Linked DNA regions of Tribolium castaneum. The protein of the gene in region 3 interacts with the protein of the main gene of each other region in a biochemical or structural test. Links are inferred from orthologs where the notes say so. Each region holds a gene or a part of one and is shown on either strand. Other genes may lie near its edges. The genes, in order: Ubc4, ubiquitin-conjugating enzyme E2 J2 and Uba1.

Region 1 (10,811 bases), about 1.5 Mb from region 3:
AATCATCTATATCAACGCTTCAACATGTGATATTAACTATATTCCAAAAAACCTACCTATAGTTTTTGATGTTCCTTTACCAGAAGGCCAGTCGAAACACTAGGTTAGTATCAATCGAAAACGCTTTTATAATCTATTTATTGTGTATATTTAAGTTCTTTTATACAAAATAATTTGCAAAAAAATGTATAGAGAAAGCTCGTGTCTTTTATTTCTTGTACAAAAATAAGCCATAATTATATACACTACAAGACCATTTCGAAATAATAAAAAAATATTTTATTGCAAGAACCTAATTGTAATTAGCGTAAATATTATGGCATGCACCTGTAAAGGTCTAAATTATAATTTAAAAAAATATGAATTTGTATCTCATCATCAATTAGTTATAAAGAAATAAAACGAACATCTTCTACATCTGAGGATTTGCAGTACAACCTAACACTTTTATTATTTAAAATAATAAAAATGGGTTAATAAGGAACATTCGAGAATAGGTACGATACTGATTCGCCATTGTGCGTCCTCCTCACCGCCTCAGCGAACATCATGGACACATCAATGCACTAAAAAACCAAACAATCATCAAACTTGTGATTTGTGCCAAATCGCACAACTCACCTGGATTTTCGAACAATCCTTCATATGCCCGTCTTGTGGAATCGTATTAGTGACAACCACAGCCTCAAAGCACGCGTTATTAATCCTAGTTATGGCAGGTCCGGAGAAAATCCCATGCGTCAAAATCGCGTAGACTTTCGTAGCCCCAGCTTCGGTCAACTTCTCGGCTGCGTGGCAGATCGTGCCGCAAGTGTCGGCCATATCGTCGACCAGAATAGCAACCCTGTCTTTCACGTCTCCGACGAGCACCATCGAGGCCACCTCGTTGGCCTTCTTCCTCTCCTTGTGGATGAGGGCGAACTCGACGTTGAGTCTGTCGGCGATGGAGGTGACCCTCTTGGCGCCCCCGGCGTCCGGCGACACTATTATACTGTTCCGCCACTCGACAATGTTCTCCTTGATCCATTTCAACACCGCCGGTTCGGCGTACAAATTATCCACCGGGATGTCGAAGAAGCCCTGGATTTGCGACGCGTGCAAGTCCATGGTGATGATGTGATCGGCCCCCGCCACCGAGAGCATGTTCGCGACCAGTTTGGCCGAAATTGGGGCCCGACTCTGTTGAGCAAAGGTTCAAATTGGCATGCATTGGGCCGAGGGCGAGGGACCTAACATGTTAAAAGCTAAACAAAATTCCCAAGCCACTATCTAGCTAAATTTTCAATTAGTAAAATGACATGTCGGGTTAGTTAATAAGTCTTCGGTATTATTATTATTATCGCATGGTTTCAAGATCATTACATCATTTTTCGGATGATAATTTTTACCCAACAATAAACAGATAAACAAAAGTTGACTTCTGACTCCTGAATGTTTGTTACACGATAATAATGACTATTTCGTCAATGTAAAATTGTTTCACAACAGTACGTTTCCCCTTCGTTTTGTAATCCTGGCATGCAGTTCCGGGAATCATATACAGCGTGTCGCAATTACGCGCCCATTTATGATTTTTTTATTATTATTTGTTAATTGCGACGTATGAACGCTGTGTTTTGTATCAGTGTTATTAACAACGTACAAAGCTAGTCTAACTCTGGCGTAAAAACATGATTTTCAGACGACACTTTCCCAATAAGCCCCTGCAACATTCACAAAATTTAACAATTTTTACCCTGAATTTCCATTCGATTGACTTCCATTTTTCCACGTTGCGTTCGACGTCATTTTTATTCGCAGGCTAAAATAATCTCGTATCAGGTAAGTGTGTATGTGAATGTACGAAGGTGTAAATCTACTTTATTCTAATCGAATGATTTCAGTTAAAATTAAATTTTATTTATGGGAACTACGTTGCATAAGAGAAAAAATTGGAAATTTGTCAACAGAAACATTGAGAATACGAAAAACAGGTGCAATTATAAATAAAAATACACTTTACATAAGTTTCTTTCAACTTTTTAGAAAAAACTTCAATCTCTGTCACGTTAGAAAAAGTCAAGAATCATAATAATTAGAGTTTAATTATTATCACGATAGTGTAAGTAGTTCAACATTATTACATTACTTGATCTACTCTTGAAATATAAAACTATTTAAAGCAATGCATTTTGCTAAACATTCCACTATTATCAGTTTATAAACACACATGAACCCGAACTTATTGACGTATTTCCGACCATTTCAACTATTTTTAAGTTATGCTAATTAGTAATAGATATACAGAATCTTAATTAATTAAGAGAACTGTGGCTAGTTCCTCGCTTAGACGTCATTGAAAGCAAAAGTGGTTTTGCTACACAGATAAGGAACCAATAAAATATTTTTGTTCAAATTACTCAATAAATTGTAATAAACAAATATTTGAGGGGGAAAACAATTAGGGCAGGCCAGTTGGGACCTGCACTAAGAACACCCCGAATTAAAATGATAATATTTTAATGTTACTTAAAATTGCACTTGAAAACTGCCACAAGCAAAGAATTCCATTTACCTGGAACTCTTATTATTTCAAAAAATTACTGAAAGAGATAAAGATATTAAAAAAATCGTGATCAAGTGTATTGTAAATTTTTTTGTAAACGTATGATTTCTCTAAATTCGTTTGCTTAGTCCTGTGACAATTCAAGATAAAGGCGGTTGGGTAGAGCAGTAGAATGATGCACATGAAAAATAGTTTGTTAAAGAAAAATTTGGTCTTTTGAAGGAAAAGTAACACGTAATGTAATTTAGACACGTTTTGAAATCATTATTTCAGTAATTAAAAAAAATTTAATAATTTTTCTCGAAATCTGCTCTTCAACTGTAGACTCCCCACTAGTTTTTTTTATCTTGTTATTATAATACATAGTACCAATCAATCATTTGAATTTATAATTAGAGTAAGTTTTTATGGCTTCTTTTCTTGTATGGCAAGGCTGATTATTATAATTAATAAAACTGAAGAGTCAGTTAATCAAATTTCGAACGGTAATATTTAATTAGACCACGTTTTTGCCTCTAGATTACCAACTACATAAGAAAAAAACGCATACATTCAAATGAGTACATGTTGACAAAAAATCTATTGGCATTATTGAGCTATTGGTCATTCTTCTAATTTGTTTCAGGTGATGGCTAGGCATGGAAGTGTATATTATTTGTATAAAATTTTGAATTTGATATTTAAATACTGGCAAACCTTAATCACACAATCACTTAGTATTTATTATGATAAGAAATAGACTTATTTTTCCACTTTTGTGTCAAGAAAAACATCAATAAAATCTAAAAGTACACAATAATTGTAGTAATAAAAAGTAACAAATTAAAGACTGTCTTTGTTAAATGGATATAGCAAAATCACTTTTAATAGTGCAGTTACATTTATTATGCCTTTGCTAATATTCTAGTAAAAAGCCTTTATGACTATTTAACACATCATAAATCATATATTTCTTAAGCAAAGCAAACATGTTTGAAATACTTAAGTCGCGGCAGTGGCGCCCTCTCAACCACGTGCTCCTTTTGCCGACCTAACGGTAAACAAATTGTTTCAAATTAATAAACTACGTGGTCGGATTGAACTTGTCCAATTATTAAACCAGATGCTTGACTAATTTGTCAGGTCAATAGGAAAAACCACAACCCTAATTGTCCTAAAAACCAAAACTACGGTCTCCACAAACCCGCTTGCAGATGTATACAAAGTCACGTGGCGTCTAGGTTATCTACACATGTGCAGGTACACAATTGGAGCAATTGTGCACTCACCTTGTCCTTCTTGTCTTGCCGAGCGTACGGGAAGCATGGAATGACTGCAGTGACTCTGCTCGCGGACGCAATTTTGCACGCATTTATCATGATGAGGAGTTCCATCAGGTTGTCGTTAACTTCCCCGCTGCCCGACTGCACGATGTACACGTCTTCCCCACGGACGGACTCCCCAATTTCCACGCTAAAATAAAATAATAATAATAAGTCGCAATTTAAGCCAAGTCAATAAGCAAATAATTTCCAAAGCCCACTCACCATGTTTCCAAGTTGCTGAATTTCTTCGTAACCACTTTGCCCAAGTCGATCCCCAGCCGGTCCACGATCCTCTGGGCCAGGTCGGGGTGCGAGGTCCCGCTGAAGACTTTAATGTTCGGCATTCTGCTCTGGAGGATCAACGAAGACTTTTCCAACTTTGCCCGCAACAAGCTTTTAGCACGTACGGGCTGGGAAACGGGCATAACTGCAAAACGCGCAGCCAATCAGAAGCGGGGTCTAATGTTATCGGCAAACAACGCTCCAGAATGATAAACCTTGTGACGAAATACTCCCTGCTTATCGAAGATTTCCGTCGAAAATATCGCCGAAATTGTCAACAGAAATCGCGCGGGGGGGCCCTTACGTCATCGTTGCAGCAGTCCGAGGGAAAATCCCCGAATATTTGCGAGATTTCGGCCGATTTGGCGCGCGCGTAAATTCCGTAAAGTTGGCTATAATGCTATTGAAAACAAGTGACATTTCTTCATTTAGCATTTCATAATTTGCCTAACTTCAGTGAGAAATTAAAAGTGTGAAAATCGATCTTTAGCCAGTGTATTTTTTACTTTTGTCAACAAATCGCTATTTTTTAGAGCCACGGTTTATCTGTTATGTTTTACTGCATTTAGGAACTTCCCCACCAGAATGGCTAACATAGCAGCACAAAGGATACGACGAGAGTTTAAAGAGGTTATTAAAAGTGAAGAGGTAGGAACTTCGCAAACACTGTTTTTCTGTTATGTCATTCTAACTCCTAAACGCCACTTACCGTTCTCGGTTTCCTCGGACATTTCGAATTTTCACACTTGAAATTGTCAGTACACAACGTAAAATATTGATTACTGAAAAATGCCCCCTGCCATAAATTCAAAGCGAAGGGGTTATCACTCCAACGTCATTTCGTAACAATCAACAAACTTGGCTAATACGATCGTGCTTGTTTGAAATTTAGGTAGCAAAATGTGCCATCAAAGTGGAACTCTTAAATGATAGTTATACAGAGCTCAAAGGCGAGATCACGGGCCCCCCGGACACGGCCTACGAAGGGGGCACCTTCGTATTAGAGATTAAAGTACCTGAAACATACCCCTTCAATCCACCCAAGGTACGTTTCAACATAACCAGGAAAAAAAAGACTAAGAGTTTTGTAACAGGTCAGGTTCATTACGAAGATATGGCACCCGAATATATCATCAGTAACGGGCGCTATCTGCTTAGACATTTTAAAGGACCAATGGTGCTTTCTATTACGTGGTAGTATTTGTTATTAAATGAAATTCTAGGGCTGCAGCTATGACGCTGAGGACGGTGTTGTTGTCGCTCCAAGCGCTGCTCTCAGCTGCGGAGCCCGATGACCCACAGGACGCCGTGGTGGCGAAGCAGTTTAAGGAAAATATAGAAATGTTTCAAATGACGGCCAGACATTGGACAAATGTTTACGCAGGCGGTAATTTATGCAGTTTGCAATTAGGACGGCGTGACGCTCTGTTTGCAGGTCCCCATGTAAATAAAGAATGTGACGATAAAATAAAAAGGCTAGTTGATATGGGAGTGGAGGAGCACCAGGCGCGGGTCGCTTTGTCGTCGTATAACTGGGATATAGAAAGAGCAACTGAACAGTTATTTAGTTAGTGAACTATTTTAATCCGCCATTTTACTATATTCTCTCTACACTTTTCCAACAGTTGGTTATGAAACGCAGTTTCATTTTCTACCCAATAGATTACTGACTTAAATTATTTTGAAGGTGTACAAGATGAATAAAAGGATTGTTTGCATTTACCTTATGTCTCAGTAATCACTATACGAAAGTCTTGTTTTGGCTCTTGCGAACTAATTTCAACTTTTGTCAATATTGGTGTTTGAAATTTATTGATGTTACTGATGCTTATCGTTAGTTCTTTCGAGTACAAAGTCTTTCAATTAATTACGGTTTATTCTTGCTAGTGAAAACCACCAGATTAGTTTTTTAGCACTTCAAGTATGGTAATTGAATGAAATGCTTTGTATAACCACTTTCCAATTAGTTACTGTTTTTATTTGTAAATCGGCGATTGAATACTGTTAAAATAAAATTTTAATCTTGAATATACAGGCACTGAGGTGAGTTACAACCCTAAGACAATCCACGTCCATTTGAAACTCAAATACTCCATGAAAATAAAAGTTGCGCATTAACTCTTAATTTATGCACTGATTATGCAACAGATTTACATAAGTAGCACCACGAAAGGTCGAGACTCCTTCGGTACTATTTCAAAATAGATTTAAATTCAATTACAATCACCTATTATTAGTCCAGTCATTGAATAATTTCAATGGTCCAGTCAAATAAGCCTGTAAATCGAAATGTTCAAAAGCTCGCTTTTTTTATATAAGTTACATGGAGCAGTTAAAAACGTTTAGACAAAGAATTTTTTAGTTGAAGAAACGAAATTAAAGCGTTTTTTACAGATTATTCAAAATCGCTGAAAGCTAGAAAAAAAAGTTTTAAACAAAAATTGTAAAGCCGAAAATTTTGCATAAAAATGTTCACTTGACTGTTTTTGATATTAATATTAACAGAAAGTTAGGGCGGTTAAAATAATATACATATACTGTAAAATCTTGTCATAACACTTGAAAAAAAGGTTGTTTTTTGTTAGTATTTTGGCATCGCTGCGAACATCTTTAGCTTTTTTTGCAAAATTTTTATGAAAACCTATTCAAATTACACCAAAAATTAAGGGTTTCTAGTCTTTTATAAGCAAGAATTCCTAGGAAATCTGGGCTTATTTTCGACCAAAAAAGAAGAAAAATTGGCGGAAAATGTATGGTTTTTCCCGTTATCTTAATTTTTTTATCTAATTAACATGTTTTAGAAATTTTTCGAAAAAACGAAGATTTTCGGTAGTTTTTATTCGAAAAAAAAAATCAGGTAGATACATTCTGTGTTTTTGGTGGCAACTTAAAACATATATAACAGGACATAAGTGTAAAAACCTAAACCCGTCCTGGCTAAATCAGGACGGTTGGTAACCTTAGATTAAAAGTAATTTGTTAATTTATCATTTTTAGAAATATGCTGCGATTTCACCTCGAGCAGATTTTGCGGTAATTTTATATTGTAATAACTGTGAGTGTTCCAGATATTGAAATGATTCTTACATGAAAAACTTATTTAAGTTATTAACTTCATTTCATATCGAAAAATTCATTACACAGGACGTTACAAGAAAATGTAATTTTTAGTTTCTTTTTATCAAAAGTCAACCTTGTGTAAATACGTAAAACTGCATTATTTACGGTGGAATCTTTTACAAAAAAAATAAATTTCTAGCTTTATCCAGAAAGAAGATACGGGATGTAATCGCAAAATTTGTCCAATGTTAGGTTTTTGTAAATTTTTACTAAAAAGTCTTTTTGACCCCTTCTCGGGAGTTGGAACAACCTTTGTGACTCCACAGTAATATAAAAAACGCAAGTTTTTTCCAACTTTTCGATTTAAAGGCTTATTTGACTGCCAGCAGGGAGGAAGTTCATAATCGTGAATTATTTGTATTTTTTATTTTTATCAGTTATCAGATGAGTTATTTTTCACTTAGTGGTTACGAAAAATCCGCAAAAACATTTCCGTGTGGTTATTTTTGCGTAAAAATCTTATGCAAGGACGTGAAGGTCGTTGACGTTGAAACGTCCTTGAGTTTGACGTCGCCATTTGACATTGACAGGATAGTTTTTTGAGGTTAGGTTGTAAATTTATTTGAAAAAAAACCCAAAAAGTAATGAACTTGGATGACTACAACCACGGAGGTAACCATAAACTCGTTATTCCGTGCGAATTATCACACAAGTCAACCGTTTCAGAAAATGAGATGGAAGTTGAAGGCTCTGAGGACTACCCCTTGCAGATAATCTCCCCGCGCGTGGAGGAGATCCACCCCTTAGCATTAGTAGCAATAAACGTAGATAATAACGAGCCCCCCGCCACCTACAACGACGTGGGGTTCCCCCTAGTGCCACAAGCCAACGAAATCGAAAGACTGTCCCCCACCGAGTCAGTGGCGAGCACCCCCCAGACCTTCGACGAGGAGAGCAACCAGTCGCGAAAGCGCACCTTCGAGGACGAGGAGCGCGAGGAGGACGGCTCCGTGTGCCCCATTTGCCTGGACGAGTGGACGAACACGGGCCCCCATCGGATATGCGCCCTCAAGTGCGGGCACCTGTTCGGTGAGCAGTGCATCACCCGGTGGCTGAACCAGAACTCGCGCAAAACGTGCCCGACCTGCAAGGAGAAGGCGCGCCGCCACGACATTCGCTACATTTACGCCAAAAAACTAACAGCAATTGATACAACTGAACTGGACAATATCAAAAAACAGCTGGACTCGGTGACCGAACAGCGCAACAAGTTCCAGACTGAGTTGGCCACGTGCGCCTACCGCGAGCAGTTGCTGAGGCAGGAGATCGCCCAGCTCAAGACGCAACTGAGGCAGAACAATGTTCCTACTTTCAACCAGCCCATGGTGGAGCGCGTCAAGCTGTACATGGACAAGGCGATGGAGATTTGCAAATTCGGCGGAAGCCGGGTTTTTGACGCGCGCTGCGAGCTGGACCTGCTCATGGCTTCGATGAAGTCGCCCACGAATTTGTTCGCCGGGTTCGGCTTGAAAAAAATAAACATTTCGGGGTACAGAACAATCGCGTTCATTCCAGTCCATACGTTGCAAATTAGAGACATTTGTTTCCACAAGGAACAGAACTGGGTGCTTACAGCGTCCATGGACAAGACCTTTAAGGTCATAAACAACCACGAGAATTCGGTTGTCCACCAATTCACCCATCAAATGCCCCTCTGGTCATGCTGTTGGGACGAAAACAACCCATACGAGCTATACGTAGGGACGCAAGCTGGGTCGGTTATAAAATACGACATTCGGCAATTAACCGAGGCCGTTTGTACCTTTTCCATAGAAGGGGACATGTCTCCGGTGGTTTCAGTCGCGTCGATCCCGGCAGCCCCGGGCGAAGCCCTGGCGCAAGGGGGCGTCGTGTCCTGCAAGTTGAACTCGCTCTGGCTGTACGAGAACGCGAATGGGGAGTACAAGAGACACCCGATTTCCTTAGAGGGACCATTCGTTTCAATGAAATACCAAACAAACACAAAGCAATTGTTAGTGTCTTCTAGGCCCAATAGTCGAATTACGTACGCGAGGCATACTTTAAGTACCTTGGCGAGGAATGAGGGGAAAATTGACTGCAATATTCTGCACACGTTTCAAGGGGGCGGCATGCAGAAGTTGCTATCAAAGTCGTGTTTTTTGTCGCATACGAGTGATTACGTTGCTGCCCACCAGGAAAATTGCAAGAGTGTGTTCTTGTGGAGCATCAATACGGGGCAAAAGGTTTGCTCCGTGACGGCGCACGAAAGTGTTTTCGATCTGAAAGGGTTCCAGAATCAAAATGGTAGTTTTCTGGTTTCGTTGACTGATAAAAAACTCGAGTTTTTCAAATTTGCTTAGGCGGTTTTTAAAGTTTAAGTATTAAGTATTAGGTACACTCTTCAATTTTGTTACGGATCACATTTTGACCATACGATTTTCAATAAATTATTTATTTTTTTTACACATCGGCAAGTTTTAATCCTCCCTGTAGTCTCCCGGTGTCTTTACAGCACCGTGTTGTGATCACAGTGCCTTGTTTTTATGGAATTACATGAACAAATTAAAAAAAATGTAGGTATTGTAGATTACTACTATAAGGGCCCCTTCAGCACACAACACCTTTTAAGCATTTTGACCTTGTTTTCAAAGGTATGTTTAAGAAAAGCAAAACTATATGGGCTTGTTCGGCACACACCATTTTTTATCAGATCTACCCCCGTTTTTCAAGGTACCTTTGTTAAAAGTTAAAATTCGCTTTTTGCCCTGTTTTTCTATTGGGCCACTTGAGCACAAAAATGAATACGGTTTCGTCCAAACAAATTCGGAATGTGATCCCTCATGAGAGTCCACAAAGTGGACTAGTGCGTAGCGAATTCACAACCCTGTTTTTAAAGGTCTATTTAAAAAGTAAATACTTTAATGATTTTGCCCTAATTTTCTAAGGTAGAAGGTATGCTCAAACTCATGTAGGTAAAAAAAGTCAATTAAAAGCAAATAGAATTAACAAAAAAAATCAAGAAAAAATGGCTATAGATGCCTGGAAAAATAATAAGGGTATAGCGCTGAAAATTTCTGAATATCATTAAAATATGTAGAAAATCACACACCTCAATTAAATAAAAAAATGAAGCGAAATTCTTGTTTACCTACAGCAATAACTGAAATTCGTAAATTACTATTGGAATTAATCATACAAAAACAAATTGATCGAATTTTTGGTCTCCTTCTGGGGCCCGTGAAAACTAACCACAACCAAACTGTGAATAAAACGGAAACTTAAAATAACATTTTGCAACTTCGGTCAAATGTCAAAGTGGACTATTGCTACCTAAACGAGGTGTATATGACCACATCGAAAGTAAATAATAAGATAGCAAAATTAGCATCTTTAATTATATCAATAGAGCATATTTGGAACAAACTAATTAAAGAAAATGTTACAATAATTATTAGTCTTGATTTCTTTACTTATGTGCGAGTACATAATAAATACTAATTAAAGGATTCCACACTTTTATTACAAAAACCCAATAAATCCATTAGATAAGTAAAAAAAAACATCTCAAATTAAACCATTAAAAACCCCAATAATTACAA
Region 2 (10,266 bases), on a different chromosome or scaffold from region 3:
TTTGAATATTTCGCAGCAAATGTGTGGCATTAAAACGGTAAGTTGGATGATTACTTAAAGTTTTCGCCATTTCTGCGTTGAAGGTAATTCAATTCTCGACCCCGGTTTTTGAAGAAATGAATCTGGGACCAAAAGTGGCCTTGTATATCACGGCAGGAATGTTCATACCTCTGCTAATTACATCGATAGTTTTCTGTTTTATTATCGATAAATACGGACGACGTAGAATGGCAGAAATTAGCTTAATAGGCCTGATTATAACAACAACTTTCCTTTTTACTTCTCTGTACTTGAGAGTGAGCATTTTTATTTGGGTAAAATCAAAAATCATGTTTTAAAATCCAATAGAGAAAAATTGTACCAAGCATGAAGTATGCGGCTATTGTAGGATACTTCGTATTCAACGGGTTTTATTGCATCGGTATTGGCCCCTTGGGATGGTTTGTCCCAGCTGAGATGTTCTACCATTCATCCCGGACTGTCGCAGTTTGTTTATCAGTTGCATCAAACTACATTTCAAGTTTTATAATAGGGCAAGCGTTTTTCATTTTAAAGGTAAAACAAGCCCCTAGTCAAAGCATAATCCAGGAATTAATTCTAGAGCGAAATCGATGCATACACCAGCCTCATATTTATTGTTTTGGACATATTCTCGCTTCTTTACATCCAGCAACGCTTACCCGAGACGAACCAACTTAGTGCATTAGACATCCTCGATATGTACACCTTTCCACAATAAATTATCCCCAAAAAATCTCCAAGATTATTTTACCCGAACAATTACCCTGTTTCCCAAAAAAATCTTTGAGGGAAAGTACCACCAAAAAAAAATCTCTCAATGAGAAAGTTTTATTACAAATCTTCAATACGCCATTTTGATGCTATCCAACAATGGTCTAAATCCCGGCCAAACTCCCTGGAAACACCCCAACTGTCCAGACCGACCCAGGCCTCCCAGTAATAAATTATTTGTCACATTTGACATGGTGCGTGTAAAAACGCACCTCCAAAGAGTTTTCTCAGTATTTTGCTCCAAATTCATTTTCGCGGTTATCGTCGCCAGTCTTTCAGGCTTCCAGCATGGCTACCACCTTGGCATTGTCAACATTCCGGCTGAAGTGAGTGTTTCCCACGAACTGGCCAACAACCCGATTGTAGGTCTTGCAGGAGTGGATCCGGGAAGTGGCAATTAACCGCAAGGGAGAACCCGCAACTGAAGGTTTCATCATGGTGTTTTGGTCAACTCTCGTTGCCATTTTTTCACTTGGGGGCATTGTCGGGGGCAGTTTGACGAACCTCTTCGCTGAGAAATTCGGCCGAAGGAATAGCTTGTTGTGGAGCAATGTTTTAGCTCTTTTAGGGATTGTTTTCCTTGTCTATTCCAAAGTGTCCGAATGTTACGAATTGCTCGTTGTTGGGAGGTTTGTCGCGGGAGTGAACGCCGGGTTAAACTCGGGGCTTTGCCAAATCTATTTGATCGAAATCGCTCCCGATAAAATCCGGGGGTTTGTTGGGGGGTTCTACCAGTTAATTATCGCAATGTCTATTTTGATTTCGCAAATAATGGGAGCGGTTCTGGGAGACGATGAGCAATGGCCGTTTATGTTTCTGGTCGGTTTTATACCAGTTTGCCTACAGTTGTGCCTTTTACCGCTATGTCCCGAGTCCCCTAAGTATCTTTTCATAACGAAAGGCGACAAGGAGGGAGCCGAAGCTGCCCTGGTTTGGTTCAGAGGCACTAACAACGTTTACAAAGAAATGTACAAACTCAAGGAAGAAAACAATTTGCACAAAAGTGTAGACGATGTGAATTTGGGTAAATTACTGTGTGATATTTCCTTGAGGAGCCGTTTGGCTGTCTCTTTGATTATAAATATTGGACAACAGCTGTGCGGACTCAACGCTGTAAGTGATAAAAACCCAATTTTGTCAATAATAAAAATCGTTTCAAGCTGATTTATTTCTCGAACGAGATATTCAAGAATATGGGCATGTCGGAAGAACTGGCCACCCAAACGACCATTGCCATGGGTGCGGTGAATGTTGTGGTAACCCTGTTGGGTATTATCTTCGTGGATTGCATCGGTCGTCGCATTGTCTTACTTGTCGGTTTCCTGGGGATGGGTATAAACACGTTACTTTTGGGCATAATCCTAAATTTAGGAGTAAGTCTTTTCGAATTTTGCCAAAAAAATCCCTCTTTTCCCACTAGAAAATTGCAAGTTTTATCGACTATATCGCAACAGTATTGGTTTTTGTTTTCGTAATTCTGTTCGCGATGGGCGTTGGTACAATACCATGGTTCTTGACTGGTGAAATTTTCAACCATACCCCTCGCTCGATTGCGGTGACCATAACCGTCAGCAGTAACTGGTTGTTTAATTTCGTGGTGGCCCAAACCTTTTTGCCCTTACAGGTAACCATCCCGATCCCAAATTCCGAAAAAAAATTGTTAAATTCCAGAGCGTCATTGGGAATTACGCGTTTCTAGTTTTCGTCGTCTTTGACTGTTTCTTTTACTTCTTTACTGTTCTGCACCTCCCGGAAACAGCGCGTCGTTCCGCCAAAGAAATATTTGAAATTTATTACGAATAAACTTTTAACCTAAATTGTCATTTGTTTCAATCAAAAGTGACATCGAAATGGAAAGTCTTGTTAAATTTCTTTTTTGTGTGGTAACAATTGCAGGTTCGGGTTTTGTTTACGGCTTCCACACAGGTTTCCTCAATATTCTCTCAGCGGTAAAACATGATCCCCGGTGGAAAACCGAATAGAACGGTTCTTTTAGACACTGATGCAATGGTATGACGACGTTTCAGACGAGCGGCTCGATACAAAGCAAATTAAGGAGCCCTTAAACCTGGGAGCTATTCACGCTTGGGTCACAATTTCCTTTTCGATTGGAGGCGTGATCGGAGCTGCCCTTATATGGCCCTTCGCCACTTACCTCGGCCGAAAACTATCTCTTTTCTGCAGTAACTTAATAGTGGTGTTTGCGCTTATCATCGTGAGTTTTGTCAGTCCTTCAAGCACTTTCGAATTGCTGATTTTCGGAAGAGTCCTTCTGGGTGTGTCGGCCGGAATTAACAGTGGAATAGGACCAATGTACTTGGTCGAAATCTCGCCTCACTGCCTGCGAGGCTTTGCCGGGAGTTGTTATTACCTGATTGTGGCTTTATCAATTTTCATGGCTTATGTTTTCACCCATCCTACGATAATGGGGGAAATCGAGACGTGGTCTTATGTTTTTGTCGTGTCGGGATGCCCGATTATAATTCAGGTAAAACAGTGGTGTTTTAGAATTTGAAGAATGCTTCTTTTAAGTCTATAATGCTTATATTTTGTCCCGAAAGCCCCAAATACCTCATGTTCGATAAAGGGGATGAGGATAGAGCCGAGGACGCGGTAGCGGACATTGAAGGGGAAGAAATCGACGAAGAAATGGACGATTTGAGGGAAGAAATGGCCCTTTTGGACGAAATTGGACCAGTGACAATAGAACGGCTGTTCAAAGATGAGACTTTGAGGAACCCTTTAATAATCTCGGCTGTCGTCATGTTGGGACAACAAATGACAGGAGTTACCTGTGTAAGTGGGCAAATTTTTTGAACATATTTTAAACCGTGCCCTTAGTTGTTGTACTTTTCGTGCGTAATTTTCGAACACCTGGGCTTCGACGATTTCAAAGCCAACGCAATGGCTCTAGGTCTAGCTTTCGTGAACTGGTTTTGCGCCCTTGTGTGCGTATTTGCGGTGGACAAAGTGGGCCGCAAGCCTCTATTGCTGGCTAGTTATTTCGGTATGGTGCTAACAGTGTTTTGTTTTACTCTCACGATGATTCTAATGGTGAGTGATTGGGAAAAAATACAATTCTTCATTTCATTTTTAGTCAATTTCAGTGCGACCTAATCAAGCCATTGACACAATCGCCGTCGTTCTGATTTATCTATATGTGATGTTTTTTGCGCTTGGCGCTGGTACCATTGGGTGGTTCTTTACGGCAGAAATTTCGAACCATTTCGCCAGACCCATCACCGTTTCTATGACGGTGATGTTGTACTGGATCGTCCAACTTATTTTTGTTGGGTGCTTTTTACCTTTTTGGGTACCACGTTGGCGAATTTGGGGCAATTTATTAACGAGTTTTTTTTAGTTCATGATTCACACTTATACGTTTTTGTTTTACATTATATTCGATATTGCGACAGTTGCTTTTCTCTTACTAACGCTAAGGGAAACCGCAATGGTGCCTAGTGTCGATATCACGGAAATGTTTTATGATTAAACTTTTCGCCGATGTCACTTTTGAAAATAAATTTTTTAAAAAAACCTCACGATGATTATTTTACATGGGAATCCCCGTTCATGTGCCGCATTGTTGGTTGCCTACCCCACGGTGATAAATGATGAAATTATCAAATTTTTAGTACGGTTTCGTCTTTAAATTATTTATTTATTTAGCTTATGATTACTTGTGGGCCTTTGTAAAATTCTGTTTGGCTTTTTTGGCAGAAAAGTGTTACGTCAGATGTTTTCGGGACAGTTCACTCTCACGTCATTTGTCGCTTTACCAATTTTTCGGAAAAACTCAAAAAAATCACTTGTTGTTTATCACCGCCCCGCGCCCCCGTCCCATCCTCTCGACTTTGATTGATTACGTGCCCCGAGCGATAAACACAGATAAGAGGCACAAATTAAGTACGTTTTGAGTGCTCCTAACCTCACTTTCAAGAATGTACAATTAGTTGAAAATGTCGAATCGCAAGACAAATAGTGCCACTTCGCGACTCAAACAGGACTATTTGAGGCTGAAACGTGACCCCGTGCCCTACATTACCGCCGAACCTCTACCCTCGAATATCCTGGAATGGTGAGTGCTGAGGCACCCAAAAGGTTTGTTTTCGAGCCAGTTTTAGGCACTATGTGGTGTGCGGGCCGGAAAATACGCCATATGAAGGGGGCTTCTACCACGGGAAGTTGGTTTTTCCGCGCGAGTTCCCCTTCAAGCCCCCTTCTATCTATATGATAACGCCTAATGGGAGATTTCGGACTAACAAGAAGCTGTGCTTGAGTATATCGGACTTTCATCCAGATACGTGGAATCCGGCGTGGAGCGTCTCCACAATACTCACAGGGCTTCTCAGTTTTATGGTAATGAACTATTTCCCAATGTACTTTTTCGTAATTTTTTGGTTTAGCTTGAAAAGAGCCCCACTTTGGGGAGCATAGAAACGTCAGAGTACGACAAGCGGCAGTTTGCCTACCACTCGCTTGAATTCAATCTCAAAGACAAGGAGTTTTGTGATTTATTTCCAGACACAGTTACCAAAATCCAGGTTTGTATCTGGTTATGGGGGCTATGCGATGTTTTGACCTTTGTTTAAATAGGACGTGCTGACGCAACGGAGTAACATGAATAATAACGTGGCAGAGAACCAGAAAACCTCTCGGTCAGTAGCAGAACCCAGCAATTTCCAATCATGTATTACTAATTTGATAGTATTTATTGGTGTTGCTGCATTTGCGATTACGGTAAAATACGTAGTAATAACAACGGCGTCTGAAGCTGAATAGGGTTGATAATAGGGTTGAAAAAGTCACATTTTAAGTTTACTTTTCTTTGGTTTTAGTTTTCGCAATTGTCAAGAACGGCGCAGGATATTTAATCTTTGTAGGAAATTTAAGAGACTTTTTTCTAGAGCACACGTTTAGGGTTCTTTGTAGTTTCAGCTGAACTTTTTTACTTAAAACATTATCAACAGTTAACGAACCTAAATCTCTCAATGTAAATAACTTATGTAATATATCATAATCCTAGTATTATTGTTATTAATATTTGTATCATAATACATATTGGTTGTAATGATGAATATATTTTTTCCCATTTTTCCAAGTGTTTCATTTCACGCACCTATCACTTATCAAGCAAAAATTTGTTCAAATGCGTTGTTACTTCAAGATGTAATTGATGAGTAATAACAGGTGTTTGATATCCAAAAATCGTAAATGACTAATCGATAAAATAAAAAAAACAAAACAAAGCTGACTCAATTTACTACTCCACAAATCAAACGTTCATTGAAGTAGGAAAGTCCGCTTCAATTTTATATTCCGGAAATAGGCATAAGGCAGACAAATAGGAAACAAAAGAATGAAAATCGAGCAAATACGCTCGAAAAAAAAACACGAATATATTGAATATATTGGTATTTTCGGTTCAAAAGACTTACATTTTAAGCCAAAAACCTGCTGCAAAGCTTAGAAAAAACACCATTTTTGACCTTTCGTGGTTTACGAATGAGTTATTTGGGTTGCCTACACAAATTTTTATCAGTTGATCTCGTTGATCCTATCCACAGATCATTTCTCAATTTTTTTTATTAATATTGTTAGGTGAAAGTAACTAATTGTAATATTCTTATTAAATTACTTTTTTCGATTAATGGTCAGTTACAGCATGAATTCACAAAATCTGTAGTACTATTTATATCTCAATAAAATTGTATCTAATTGTCTCAATTACATTTGTGGATTCCAGACGTCATACCTTATCTCTGTTAACACACATTTGCTTGAAAAGTGTCACTTCATCTCTCAAACATGCTGGACTGTTCTGAGATTAATGTAACTATAAGAAAAGCCAAAAAGGAGGATATGATCCAAGTCTACAAACTAATCAAGGTATTATTTAATTAATTTTTAACCCCTGGCAATGCGATATCGCATTTTTCAGGAACTTGCAGAATTTGAAAAACTAGAAGACCAAGTAAAAATTGACGAAAAAACCTTGATTAAAGACGGGTTTGAGACCGATAATCCAGTTTTCACGTGTCTTGTGGCAGAAATCTCAGATGGACACTTAGTCGGATATGCATTGTATTACACGTCTTACTCGACTTGGTTGGGAAAATCAGTTTTCCTTGAAGATTTATACGTCCAACCCGCATACAGGAAAATAGGAATAGGGAAACAGTTATTTATGGCAGTGGCCAAAACCGCACATGAATTATCTAGCAAAAGATTAGATTTTCACGTTCTCTCCTGGAACCCTGCCATAGACTTTTATAAAAGTTTGGGCGCTGAAAATTTAACAGTTTCCGAGAAATGGCAGCTTTTTAGACTGAATGAGCAGGCTTTGAATAAAATGTTTTCGTAAAAATTAACAATTTATTAGAACACGTTCAAACAATTCACTATTCTCTTGCCAAGTGATAACAAGTTATGGTAATGATAATGGGTCTGTTGGGTGCACCTTGTGGTGGACACTGAGCAGATGCTCCTCTAGTTTCATTTGACCGTTGTACACATTATCACAAATCTGGCACCTAAAAATAAAATTTAACCACTGTCCCCGTTTTTCACCATAAATTACTGGTATGTTTTCTTCTTGGAAACCCCCAAATGCAGTTTTTCATGAACAGCCAAGTTGTACTTTTCCGCAAACTTTTTCCCACAAGTGCCACAAGAAAATTTCTTCTCGCCAGTATGCACCCTCATGTGTCTTTTAAGGTGTGACGCTGATATCAGCAAAAAGCCACAGACGTCACATTTGTACGGTTTTTGCCCAGTGTGAGTGATTTTATGAATATTGAAGGAGGTGTGGTGAACGAATCTTTTACCACACGTATCACATTGAAACGGTAGTTCCCCTAAAACAACCAATCATTTCCTAGCAAAAAACAAGCGTCCACACCTGTGTGGATGGGTGTGTGCCTCATCAAAGCCCCCTTCTGCGTGAATGATTTGTTGCAGTAGACACACGTGAAGGGATTGATCCCTTTGTGCATCCCTACGTGGATTGTTAAAGCTTGTTGGCGCTTGTACGCCTGGCCACAAATTTCGCAAATGTAGGGACGTTCCTTGCTATGCGCCGACATGTGATTTTTCAGTTCCGTTGGCGTTTTCCAGGTTTTGGAACACTGAGTACATTTATAGGGTTTTGGATCCGTCCCATCCTTCTGTTTTTTCTTCACACTTTCACTTCCCGCTTCTTTCGTAAACAAATCCAGCGTGGACTGAATCTCAGACACCGAACTGAGATCATCAATATTAAAACCTGTCTCCAAATCATGCGTCTTCAGGTGATCCTTGAAACTCGCACCGGGGATTTTTTGACCACACATTGTGCATTCCTCGCTTTTATTGCTCGCTTCTCGTTCAATGTAGTTTTTGTTGGGGCAGTGTTTACGCAAATATTGTTTAAACTTGTTTTCGATGTTCCTTGCTCTAACTTTAATACTGTCTAGTTCATTCAGGAGGCGATAACACATCTCGCAAACGAAATAATTTGTTATGCAAAACTCTTCCTCAGCGCAGTCTTGGAGCAACATCAACAGAGGGGTTCTTGTATCGTTGGAGACCGATTGTCGGAGATCGAAGTGCAGAGTTTCGACAGGACACTCGCACAACGTGCACAGTGGTTGAGCCATTTCAAGAAATCGGCTTAACACCAAGCACCACACCACCACCAATTTTAATTTGAAAAAAATGTATTCACTTGTAAGGTTATGTTTTTGTTTATGTCAACTGTCATCACCCCAAAAAAATATTTGTTACTTAAATCCTCCGAATAGCTTCCTGGTTATGTCAAGAAATAATAACCAGCACGTATTAAGCCCAATTTGCGTTATTTTAATGCCATTTCAATTACTTTTTGCACATTTTTATTGTCAATGTCAAGTTGGTTGCCTAAATCGACCTAATCAAATGTCAGTCGGGGAATTAAATCCACCAATCAGCGCAATCCACATGTTTTGAGAAGGTCGTTTCGTGTTTCTCGCTGTGTGAGCATAACGATAAAAATCCATTAATTAAATTAATATTAATATAATGTTTGAAGTTTTTATCCAAAAATGAACGTGAACTCTGTGCCCGTCTTGCTTTTACTGACTTTCATTTCGGTAACCTCAGTTCTAGCAGGGCGAGACTTTTACAAAATACTGGGTGTCTCAAAAAGCGCCAGTTTGCACGAAATCAAAAAGGCCTATCGTCGCCTAGCCAAAGAGCTGCACCCTGACAAGAACCAGGAAGATCCGGAAGCCTCCCAAAAATTCCAGGACCTGGGGGCCGCCTACGAAGTCCTCTCAGACGAGGAAAAACGCAAGAAGTATGATAGATGCGGGGAGGACTGTCTCCAGAAAGACGGGATGATGGACAGTGGGATGGACCCCTTCGCCAGCTTCTTCGGCGACTTCGGGTTCCCCTTCGGGGGCGGCGAACAGAAGCACGAGACTCCGAGAGGCGCTGACGTGGTGATGGACATCGCCGTGACCTTGGAGGATTTATATTCGGGCACTTTTATCGAAATTACGCGGAATAAGCCGGTGATGAGGGCGGCCAAAGGCACCAGGAAGTGCAACTGCCGGCAAGAGATGATCACGCGGAATCTGGGGCCCGGGAGGTTCCAGATGATGCAGCAGACGGTGTGCGACGAGTGTCCGAACGTTAAGCTAGTCAATGAGGAGCGCGTTTTGGAGATGGAAGTGGAGCCGGGGATGGTTGATGGGCAAGAAACGAAGTTTACGGCTGAGGGGGAGCCCCATTTAGATGGGGACCCTGGCGATTTGATACTTAAGATAAAGACGCAGCCGCATCCCGTTTTTGAGCGCAGAGGGGACGATCTGTACACTAACATCACGATTAGTTTACAAGTAATTGTGTTAAGTATTTAGGGACGAGAGTAATTTTTGTCTTGTTAGGACGCCCTTGTGGGGTTCACTATGGAACTCCAGCATCTGGATGGTCACATGGTTTCGATAAGTAGGGACAAAATCACTTGGCCCAATGCCAGGATAAGGAAGAAAGGAGAAGGCATGCCAAACTATGATAATAATAACTTGCATGGGAATTTATTTATTACATTTGATGTAGAGTTCCCCAAACAAGAATTATCAGATGATGACAAAGAAGGTATTCGCGTTAAAGTTGCCAATTTCAAGCGCTCACCACAATTCTGTTTCAGCTATCAAGAAAATTCTAAATCAGAGCTCAAGAAACAAAGTTTATAATGGACTAAGAGGGTTTTAATTTAATTTAATTATAAATAGCAAGTTTTGTATATAAAAAAGACTATAATGAAGTGTGCTTGAGTGTATTGTGAATTAATTTATTACCTTTATTCTTACTCTGTTAAGGTATGACCTTAAAACCTTTGCCCGTTCATAGACTTTTCTACAGTTTTACGTTTCCTGTTCATTTATCAAATGTAAAGGAAAATTTTGTAATATATTGTACTGTCTTTACCAGTTGTTGTGCTTTTATTCCTCT
Region 3 (10,811 bases):
AACCTAAACTTTTCTCATATAACGTAGTTTTCGAGCCTGCGGCCACTCAGGAAGACGTTTTGCAGTTTTCAGGCATGAAAAGACTCATTGAAATGGCGCTTGAAGGGTTCAGGTGTACGTGTTTTTGTTATGGACAAACTGGAAGCGGAAAAACACACACACTGACAGGACCTCCTGGCCTTGTATGACATAAATAATATTTTTATTGACTGATGGATGAATTAATATTTTGTAGTTCGGGGTGAGACCGGCCCCTTTTAGTGATAAACACGGCCTTGTTTTTCGATCGTTCCTTTATTTGTTTCAACTGATACAACAAAAAACCGACGTACATTTCGTCCTCAAAGCCAGCTATCTGGAGATTTACAACGAAAAGGCAAGCGCAAGTTTTTAATCAAGGTGGCCTTAGTCGGTATTACCAACGTAGTTTCGAAATCTCAGGCTACCGTGTTTAAAAATTCAATTGACGGCACGGTGTATTAATTATGCATTTTAAATTGTTGTCATAGATTTACAACTTACGTCACTAAAAAAAGTTAAAACTATGACATATTTTAATTCAATAATTGATTCCTGAAACGATATCGATCAGGAATAAACAATTTTCCATTTTTAATATTAATAATTAATATTAATAATTGCTGAAAACTTGAACACTATTGTAGACATTATTGGAAGAAAGTTGTCTAATATGCCTACCCTAAGCAATTAACGTACTAAGAGACGCTGTTAGCGAGTTCTGTGGCATTATTTAAAGATGCAAAATAAAAAAAAAAACTTAAGAAAATATTTAGCCAATCTAATAGATAGATGTAATACATAGTGAAAGTATTGACCTTCTAAGCTACTGAAATACAAAGTTGAATGTATAAGTGTACAAGCATCGGTGGTTCAGTGGTAGAATGCTCGCCTGCCACGCGGGCGGCCCGGGTTCGATTCCCGGCCGATGCAACTTTTTTTTTTCACTATTTTTGATTTTTGTTTAGGTAATTGATTTATTAAATCCTGGAAGCGCAAGGAAGCCCCTAGCAGTCCGGTGGAGCAAAAAAGCACGCGGTTTTTTCGTTGAGAATCTTTTTACGGTCGACTGTGAAGAGCTCGACGACTTAATTGCAGTTCTGGAAGAAGGATTAAGAAATCGTGCTATAGGGAAGCACAACATGAATGATTTTTCCAGGTATTTTTTAGTTTTTTTGTGTTTAGATTCACAAAAATTGTTTTACAGCCGAAGTCATACGATTTTAACTGTTTATATCACGTCTGAAGAACCAGCTGAAGGAGGTGTTTTTCTCTCGAGGTCTGGGAAAATAAATTTCGTTGATTTGGCGGGAAGTGAAATGACCAAAAAGACACAAAGTGAGGGCAAAACGTTAGAAGAGGCGAATAATATTAATAAAAGTCTGATGGTGTTAGGTAAGTGAAACATTACTAGACTAATTATGAAGGAATTTATCAATTTAATTGAATAAAATAAATTTAAAACATTTTATCTACCCTTTCGAAAAAGTTGATAAAGAAGTAGTTTAACATATACTATTGAATTGAATTTCAATCATGAATGAACATGATTATTGAATTGAATTTATGCGAATAATTTGTAAAAAATCAACTTACTTCTTCAAAATAAATACGTATTTTAAAGTAAAAAAGCAAAAACTTGAAGAAGAAAATTCTAGTTTTGTGTTTGTTTTGTCTAGCGTAAAAGTTTTTTGAAATTCAAATTTTCTAACAAATTAATTATTTGTATTCTAATTGCAACACTGACATGGAAAAATAAAATATTGAGAGAAAACTTGTCTCATTAAGAATGCATATAACATTCGTTATAAATGAAATGTTATTGAATCCATTTCGATTACAAAAATATTTATATACATTCAAGTTCAACACTTATTTACTAAATTATGTGGGGTTTTCGTACAAATCCAATTACAAAACTCATGAAAAAAGTATCTATTTCAATGGTGCATGAATTATAAATAGAGACCTTTTCACTCTTTGCGCTTAAAAGTCAATACCTCGGAAAAGCCAATAATAGTTTAATAACTAATCTCTGAAGCAGTTTGGTATAAACTGTGATCGAATTACTTGTTCTTTAATTTGCTACTCTAGTTGATTGATTTTCTCTTTAGGGTACTGCATATCGTCGTTAAGTGATTCCAAGCGAAGGAACTCGCATATTCCTTATCGAGATTCAAAACTGACCAAGCTCCTTGCAGATTCATTGGCAGGAAATGGCGTAACACTGATGGTAATTTTTTAGGGTTGATTAAGACTGCCTTGCAATAAATCTGTTTCAGATTGCTTGCATTTCTCCTGCCAGATCCAACATCAGCGAGACCCTCAACACGCTGCGCTATGCCGCTCGAGCGAAGAAAATTCGAACAAAGCCTATTGTCCTGATGGTAAATATAAAAGAATTCCCTCGTTGCTTGTAACATATTGTAAATGTCATCAGGACCCTCGAGAAGCGCTCATTCTGAGCCTGAAACGAGAAGTGAATGTCCTGCAGAGCGAAAACGAGCATCTGCGCTCGGCGCTCAACGTCTACTCAGGGTCAACAGCAGGAGATTTACCAACAGGTTGGTTTTTAATTTATAATTAGAACTATTATCAGTTTCTTTGTACAAGTCGCACTAAAAATGCGAGCCTCTGTGGCCCAATGGATAAGGCATCGGCCTCCTAAGCCGAGGATTGTGGGTTCGAGTCCCACCAGAGGTAGCTGCGTTTTTTGCAACTACGGTTTATCAACATTTATTCCTGGCTTTGACGTAGTTGCGACAAAAAATAGATAGCACGCGAGCCGAGCTCCAAGCAGCCGATGTTCAATGAACAAGAACGGAGCAAATTTTAACAATTAATTACTACAAGAACTTTTTAATTTCTTAAATTAGTGAGAAAGTTCAAGAAATTTTGTATGTGTACGATTTTAGTTGAATTTAAATGATGCAGATCTCTAGATTCTAGAATGTCAAATGTTGACCTATAAACTTTCTGTATATTATAGTCTTATCTAATGCTCTCTATGTCCTAGATTAAGAAACATCAGTTATCACTTTATCAGTAGCTCCATTTCGCGCAGCTAATGATTTAAAAAAATATCTGAGACATATTTTTTTCAGTTATTGCAAATTGCACTTAAAATTGACAAAAATGTGTTTTCTTACATTTTTATTTGCAGCGTTTTGAGAGATATCTTATGGAGCGCAATTTTTTTATTTTCGTTTTGTTTTCATAAACCAATTAACTTAGAAATGCACTTGTGTACTTTGCCTCAGAGAGGAGAATAGTGGTAACCCCACCCCACGTGGATTTGGAAAAACTGGCCGAACTCGAAGGCCCCCAGCTCGCCGAACTCGTCCGCTTATACATGACCGAAAACGAAGCTCTCCGACGCGAAAACTCCGAGCTCTACTCTTCCCGCGAAATCCTACAAAGAGACCACGAACTCGTCTGCCGGGAAAACGAGCGTTTACTAAAGAAACTCGAAGAAGTGAACTCGTACGTGCCAAGACCCCAATTCCCAAAATCGATTATAATTTTTATTTTAGTGTATGTTGTAGGTCTCCCCTGATTCCAGCCCGGCCCGCATTTTCCGCCGAACTCCTCAACAGCATCGACTCCGAATCCACGACAAACATTTGGTCGGACGGAGACAAATCTTCACACAGCCGATCGCCCCAACAAATTCCGCAATCGATTCAGAAGGAGTTGGACAAGAGACAAATTAAAACAGAGTACTTGTTTAAAAATATGAGTTTTTTAGCCTAAATAAAAATTGTAGGATTCAGACGCCTAGACGCGGACACCGCAGGAACAAGTCCTTGGAAGAAAGCTCGAGCGATTCGAAAGTAGTTCGAGTGAAAAGCTCCGAGTCAGACGGAGGCCCCGTTCTGATAAATCGTTCCGGGTAATTTGCCTCAAGTTGTACAGTTGCACAAATTTTGTGATTTGAGCGACTGTATTAACTTGCTAGTGCAAAAAGTTAGCTTTTTAACATGAGGTTGTAATTCAGCACTTTCGACTCGAATAGTCCCGAAAGAGAACGCCAACTGGCAGGTAGGCGGTTTTCTGTGGCAAAACCGGACGAAAATGAGCCGTCAATGAATGGAGCACGACGCAAATTAGAGAAGAATTCACATATTTTTGGAAGCGTTATTTCCTTAACGGATGAAGAAGACATTTAATTAATATAGCTCGAGTGATACTGTAGCAATACATAATCTTATTTTAGTACGTTCTCCCATATTGTACCAATAGTTAATTTGAAGACACACTGTAGAATTAAACACTTGGAATATTCAAATTGTTACTATTAAAACAAGGTACAAATATACATTATTTTACTAGAAAATTGTGTTTATTTATCCTAAAATGGTGATTGGTGAAGGTTTCACAAAAATGAGGTAAGTATATCTTACACTGATATTATAGCTTCAGAAAATGTGAATTCTTCTCTTGACACAATTTTAATTGATCATTTTGAATGCAAACGAAATTTGTTATCGACTGACAAAGTAATAGCCATTGTGTTGAAAAAATTGATTAGATTAAACGCATAAATCACTTTATTCATCTAGTCTATTTCATGATTATCCTAAATCTTATCAAACAGTGGGAACTAATTTAATTTTAAAGTGGTGTTGATCGCTGGAAATTATTCCACTCGTGTGAATTTGGTAAGAATTAATTATTGTTGCCCTAATTAGGTACATTAGAAAAACAAATTCTAACAAGTAGTGCAAACAGTAAATTATGTTACCTTGTCACATCGATATAGAGCAAAATGATCATTTTCGTGGTGTTGTCCTTTCTTACAGGAATTTTCGTATGGTTTGTGGGAAAATTATTTTCGAGTAAATCGCTGTAAGTACTTTGTATATTTATTTAGATAAATTTAAGATGTTAAAGTTTACAACTCACACAAAAAAACATTCTAAAAATGAGCCATTGGTTAATTTTCTATTGTAATGCTATTGACAAATTTCGGGCCCACAAAACCATCACAAAAATAAACAATATTTTTGACTTACGTCATACTTGATACCTCAAAAAGGAGAGTGATCTTAAAAATATCTAATTATTGTCATTCAAAACGTGTTCAGGCATAAAATAATGCAAATGTTGCTCATATTTAATCAAAAACCTAGCAGATTAGTCACAAATGTTTATCACTTATCGCAGTTTTCCAGAACGTAGGTATGATTTATAAGTAATTATTAATTGTTATTAGCGAGTGCGGTGACATTATTTAACGATGCAAAATACAAAAAAAAAAAAACGTAAAGAAAGTATTGACCTTCCAAGCTACTGAAATACAAAGTTGAATGATTAAGTGTACAAAAATCGCCCTCCAATTTTGTAAAAACTGCTGCGTGACGGTAATACTTGGAATAATTTTTAATTTTCACTCTTTTTGTACCGTAAAATGCTGCTATTAAGAGTGAAATTTGTTATTGGAATAATTTAAAAAAATATCATTTTCAAACATTTTGACAATGACAATTCGTCAATGCTACAAATCGAAATGCAGGTAATACAAAACTCCCTACATTTTCAATTTTATCGTTTTTTTATGGACACAATGAAGGCAAAATAAAAAACGCATATTTCAGGTGTTTTATAAGACTTATTATCGCAACCATTGGGGCACTCCTCATCGGCACTAATTTTAAATGTGTTAAACACCGCCAGTAATGAGTACAATGGCACCAACAAAACAAATTTAAAAATTGTCAATCATGGCCTACGACGATACGGCCCCAATTTTCCTCCACAACCTTTCAAAATTAACGTAACTGTCAAAACAGATGTTAAAATGTTAAACAGTGTGCAGTCACTTGGGTCGTTTCGGTGCCCCCATTGCTCTGCTTAACAATCAGTGTGAATCTTTCGCGACAATTTCCAATTTAGCGCGTAAGTTTGCAGAATTGTGGGAGTGCGTGAATCACGCATTCCGGCATGCGCATTCGGCCCGTGGTCTCTTTGTTCGTTCGTTGTGCGCCTTCAGCCAGCGTTGTGTCTAAATCCAAGTGAAAAAACCGGCCAATTGACATTGCTATATGGTTATCAGCGCGCAAATTCCTCGATTGACCCGCAACTAATCAAACTGTGTCCTTTCGTGTCCGATGTCTAGTGCTGAAATCGCCGAAGGCTCCGTCGATCCCCCAACTAAGAAGCGGAAGCTTGACTCGTGCCCGATTTCAACCGACATGGCGAACAACGGCGCTTCCGGATCGTCTCAGCAGGACATCGACGAGGGTCTGTACTCGCGCCAGCTCTACGTCCTGGGGCACGACGCCATGCGGCGCATGGCCTCCAGCGACGTGCTGGTCTCAGGCCTGGGCGGGCTCGGCGTCGAGGTGGCCAAGAACGTCATCCTCGGCGGGGTCAAGTCCGTCACGTTGCATGACGAAGCCGTTTGCAGCGTCGCCGACCTCTCGTCGCAGTTCTACTTCACCGAAGCCGACGTGGGCAAGAACAGGGCCGAGGTCTGCTGCAAGCAGCTGGCGGAGCTCAACACCTACGTCCCCACGAAGGCCTACACGGGCCCCCTGACGCCGGACTTCATCCGCAAGTTCCGAGTCGTTGTCCTGACCAATAGTTGTCTCGCTGAGCAGATGCAAATCAGCGAAATCACACATGCCAGTAACATTGCGCTCATTGTGGCCGATACGAGGGGGCTCTTTGCCCAAGTGTTCTGTGATTTCGGGGATGCTTTCACGGTCGTTGACACCAACGGGGAGTCGCCGGTCTCGGCGATGATCGCTGATATTTCCACCGATAAAGAAGGTGGGTACAAAGAACCTAATGGAAGGCATTGTTACACAATGACTAATCTTGACGTTGTACGTCGGGTTATATTGGCAATTATTGTGCAATCAACCTGATCATGTGGCTAAAATTAATCCGATGTTAGAAGTTTGCCTTTGTTTTCCTTGCGATGTGCGAAGGTATGGAGTGAAAATCCCCAAAGGGCACTATATCAGTACTCAAATACCGTATGGTCAAATAAATCTGTCATCCTAATAAATTAAACATAATTCGAGACTATTCATAAAACCTAAAGCCATTTATTGGCTTACCAAAGTAGCAGTCGAATGGCATTAAACTTTGTGTAAATGTTGAGAAAATGTTGTAAAAAACATGTGATTTTATTAAAAATAGATGCTGTACTATCCCTTTTTTCCTCCTGTAAACTACCACTTGTGTGGAGGGTAGGAGGTTGATATTTTGAAGGTGAGCTGTATATTTATTAAAAAAATCTTTAGGTTTGTTAGTTAAATACCGGGTCAAGAAATAACCCACTATTGACTCACCCTGTACTTCAAACAATATCTTACCTAATAGAACAACTTGGTAAGATCAGCTAAAGAAGCACTGCAATCACAAAACTTCTATAATTTTATCTTGATGCAACTTAAATGATCTCCAAGCATTCAGTATTCAACTATTTTATTAAATAAAATAGCTTAAAATAGAGATTTTTTATTTTATTTTTAAACGAAACTTTTTTAAATTCATATTCGATACAGTTCTGAGTAATAATGACACCATTTCATACTAAGATTTATTTAAATGTAAGTCGTCTGAAAACTAGATCAAATATTTTTGATTGCAACTAAGAAAATTTCAGAAATTGATATTGTTGTTAAAGCATAAATTACATTATTGAAGCCACATTTTTTATGGAAACCAAAAGAAAACTCTGTATTTTTTTATTCGAAAATTGGTTTAAACACTTTTCCTTTTCCCATTCTCAGTACAGTAAAGCTTTGTCAAATTTTAGTATCGTAATCTAAAAAGTCTTATTTTGTCAATTTTTTTATGCTGTTGAAAAATTATTATGTCTGTTTTTAATGACCCAAATGTATCAGGACAAATCCAATTTAAATGTTCAATCTTATTTTTATCGATAAAGTGGGTAACACAATGTTAACATGAAAAAAATTAAAAATCTGGGTCTGGGTTAACTGAATTACACATGACACTCGATTTTTTTTTGTAAAATTTGCCTTTTGAGTCAATTGACAGGCAATTACAGGGTAATTCCATTTTTTACGAGATATAGCTCTCCAAATGTTAGATTTTTCGATTAAGTTTTTGGCAGATCATTTTTTCTTGAATTTAGTTAGCAGGAATGACACTAATTGATGATTTACGTTCAAAACAATTAATCAAAGTAGCAAATTTGACAATAAATTCGCCAATATTGGGAACAGAGGCGCAACATTTAAAAGAGTGTCTCAGGAAAAATATTAAAAATTAAAAGTTAAATTATCAGAAAAAAAATCTAAATTAATTTTTAATGTTAGCGGAACGTCTTTGTGGGCTTTTATCATCAAAAATCAACTATTTGGCTATTATTAATTATTATTATCTATTAGGTATAATTTCTTTTCTCTCGATATGTGATATGTTATTCACATTTGGATTATTAATGATCAAGAAAATTAATAGAGTAGTGAAGCAGCTTACTCGTAATACAGTTTTTATTTGATTATATTGGTTTCTGTTTTATTTCATTGCAAAAGCAGCTATTTAATGATCATTGTTGTAACGTCTATAAACAATGGGTTAATGAATTCGTACTATTTTTAGCTTTTCTACAATTGAAAAAAGATGAAATTTGCTCAAAGACCTCTAAAATTAAATTCTTTCAAATCACTAATTTTCTGTTTTTATTACATGTCATCAAAATACGTATAACAAAAAATGCAAATCAATGTTTTGTATAAAGAGTAGGTATTTGTCTACGCAATTCAAAATAACCATAATTGTGTAAATAAAGTGGTCTGCGTTATAAACATTTATTTTCGTCCTAAGCTAAAAACAAATCGGACATTGAGACAGATACCTTAAAAAAATAAAAGATTAGAAAAATGTTGCATCATTTTTTTAGCGCAATTCTGTCGTGAATCTCACTATCGAGAATTTCAATTGATTTTAGATACGTGTAAGGTAAAGGTCATGCGAAACAACGATGCCGTGTAACAAAACTTCTGTCCTTAATAAACATCGATTTAATGTAATGGATATTGTGGTTATAATTTCAATGCCTAAGTCAATACCACATCACATAAGTTTATTGTCGCCAAGTTGAAGATGTAAAATAAATTTAGTTTCCACTGCCATTAAATGTCATACTTTTATAATTTAATGGTCGAAATATGTTTGAAAATGGTGTTTTTTTCAATGATGTTTTTTTTTCTCAAAGGCATTGTGACCTGCATTGACGACACCCGCCATGGCATGGAAGACGGCGACCACGTCACATTTTCCGAAGTCCAAGGAATGACCGAACTGAACAATTGCAAGCCGATTAAAATCAAAGTGTTAGGCCCTTACACGTTCAGCATCGGCGATACGACCAACTTTTCGAAATACGAGCGTGGCGGTATTGCCACTCAAGTGAAAATGCCCAAAACCTTGTCGTTTAAATCACTCAAAGACTCGCTAAAATCGCCCGAATTTTTGATGACCGATTTCGCGAAATTCGATCATCCACAGCAGCTCCACGTGGCTTTTCAAGCGTTGCACAAATACGTCGAAAAGCACGGCCGTGTACCAAAACCGTGGAACAACGAAGACGCATCCGAATTTCTGTCCATTGCTAAATCTTTGGCCGTGGACGGCGGAAACGATACCGAAGTGAACACTAACTTGTTAGAAACGTTTGCGAAAGTGTGCGCGGGTGATTTGAATCCGATTAATGCGACTATCGGTGGTATCGTGGCGCAGGAAGTTATGAAAGCTTGTTCGGGGAAATTTCACCCGATTTATCAGTGGTTGTATTTCGATGCGATTGAATGTTTGCCCACGGAAGCTGGGGAAATTACCGAAGAGTCGGCGGCACCGAAAGGCACACGCTATGATGGACAAATTGCGGTCTTCGGAAGCGAATTCCAGAAGAAATTAGGTGCGTTTTTGTAATTTCTTGGCGAAAAGTTGCTAATTTATTTTTTGCAGGCGGTTTGAAATATTTCGTAGTAGGTGCTGGAGCGATCGGTTGCGAATTACTTAAAAATTTCGCTATGATGGGAATTGGTGGTGAAGGTGGACAAATCACCGTCACTGATATGGATCTTATTGAAAAATCTAATCTCAATCGACAGTTTTTGTTCAGACCACATGATGTTCAGCGTCCCAAATCTGGAACGGCAGCAAAGGTAAAATCATCTTATTGAAACAATTCCGAATTTAATGGTAAAAAACGATAAAAATGGACCGCACAGATGCGTAAACATTCAATTTCAAAGATTTTAAATAACGCGGTCAATTATCTTCGCTAGAGGTTTGTACTAGGTGAGACCATAACAGGCCAACTAAAATTCTCGGCAGTTTTAAATACTGTGATAAGCTGGTTTAATACGTAAAATTATCCGCAGAATTCACTGGAACAAACTGTTTGTCTCTACCACTTTTAGTTTTTAAGTTATTAAATTTTTAATGAGTAACCCGGCGCATCCACCATTTTTGAAGATGAAATTTAAAAATGTCTTTAAATAAAAAAAATCTTTATTTTTGCTACAGGTGATCAAGAAAATGAACCCGAGCATAAACATAGTCGCCCATGAAAATCGCGTGGGCCCCGAGTCTGAAAACATGTACGATGACACTTTCTTCGAGTCGTTAGACGGCGTAGCTAACGCTTTAGATAACGTTGACGCTCGTATCTACATGGACCGTCGATGTGTCTATTACCGAAAACCTCTACTAGAATCCGGAACCTTGGGTACAAAAGGCAACACCCAGGTCGTAGTGCCTTTCCTCACCGAATCCTACAGTTCGTCACAGGACCCTCCCGAGAA

The links.
Region 1: of the proteins of Uba1 (region 3) and Ubc4, one has a biochemical effect on the other in vitro, tested with the Homo sapiens proteins (9 studies listed by BioGRID, with this or other methods). The link is inferred for Tribolium castaneum from reciprocal best matches to the Homo sapiens genes UBA1 and UBE2K.
Region 2: of the proteins of Uba1 (region 3) and ubiquitin-conjugating enzyme E2 J2, one has a biochemical effect on the other in vitro, tested with the Homo sapiens proteins (2 studies listed by BioGRID). The link is inferred for Tribolium castaneum from reciprocal best matches to the Homo sapiens genes UBA1 and UBE2J2.

The regions. Positions count from the first base shown.
Region 1 is NC_087394.1:31,290,463-31,301,273, reverse strand, and holds Ubc4 (ubiquitin-conjugating enzyme E2-22 kDa), read left to right. Parts: upstream 1-4,360; 5' UTR 4,361-4,716; coding exon 4,717-4,779; intron 4,780-4,840; coding exon of another isoform or gene 4,841-4,862; exon of another isoform or gene 4,863-4,994; intron 4,995-5,023; coding exon 5,024-5,176; intron 5,177-5,225; coding exon 5,226-5,308; intron 5,309-5,354; coding exon 5,355-5,518; intron 5,519-5,566; coding exon 5,567-5,703; 3' UTR 5,704-6,159; downstream 6,160-10,811. Other genes in the region: metallophosphoesterase domain-containing protein 1, read left to right, coding at 1-103; Prps (ribose-phosphate pyrophosphokinase 1), read right to left, coding at 474-566, 622-1,179, 1,736-1,801, 3,814-3,997, 4,072-4,276, 4,841-4,862; E3 ubiquitin-protein ligase RFWD3, read left to right, coding at 7,836-7,863, 7,918-9,572. UniProt on the Homo sapiens protein: Accepts ubiquitin from the E1 complex and catalyzes its covalent attachment to other proteins. In vitro, in the presence or in the absence of BRCA1-BARD1 E3 ubiquitin-protein ligase complex, catalyzes the synthesis of 'Lys-48'-linked polyubiquitin chains.
Region 2 is NC_087398.1:6,626,558-6,636,823, forward strand, and holds ubiquitin-conjugating enzyme E2 J2, read left to right. Parts: upstream 1-4,444; 5' UTR 4,445-4,751; coding exon 4,752-4,870; intron 4,871-4,916; coding exon 4,917-5,151; intron 5,152-5,198; coding exon 5,199-5,336; intron 5,337-5,388; coding exon 5,389-5,574; 3' UTR 5,575-5,630; coding exon of another isoform or gene 5,631-5,712; 3' UTR 5,713-5,888; downstream 5,889-10,266. Other genes in the region: solute carrier family 2, facilitated glucose transporter member 1-like, read left to right, coding at 1-37, 84-296, 349-555, 602-739; solute carrier family 2, facilitated glucose transporter member 1-like, read left to right, coding at 984-1,118, 1,159-1,905, 1,953-2,165, 2,213-2,416, 2,464-2,595; solute carrier family 2, facilitated glucose transporter member 3-like, read left to right, coding at 2,643-2,741, 2,789-3,280, 3,325-3,588, 3,634-3,846, 3,890-4,105, 4,154-4,285; thialysine N-epsilon-acetyltransferase, read left to right, coding at 6,601-6,681, 6,734-7,156; zinc finger protein 239, read right to left, coding at 7,220-7,325, 7,373-7,649, 7,694-8,429; dnaJ homolog shv, read left to right, coding at 8,853-9,650, 9,699-9,909, 9,962-10,026. UniProt on the Homo sapiens protein: Catalyzes the covalent attachment of ubiquitin to other proteins. Seems to function in the selective degradation of misfolded membrane proteins from the endoplasmic reticulum (ERAD).
Region 3 is NC_087394.1:32,752,742-32,763,552, forward strand, and holds the start of Uba1 (ubiquitin-like modifier-activating enzyme 1), read left to right. Parts: upstream 1-5,776; 5' UTR 5,777-6,128; coding exon 6,129-6,792; intron 6,793-9,217; coding exon 9,218-9,919; intron 9,920-9,969; coding exon 9,970-10,169; intron 10,170-10,533; coding exon 10,534-10,811. Other genes in the region: Klp54D (kinesin-like protein KIF12), read left to right, coding at 1-182, 236-376, 987-1,177, 1,226-1,413, 2,133-2,251, 2,301-2,405, 2,459-2,582, 3,279-3,501 and 3 more. UniProt on the Homo sapiens protein: Catalyzes the first step in ubiquitin conjugation to mark cellular proteins for degradation through the ubiquitin-proteasome system.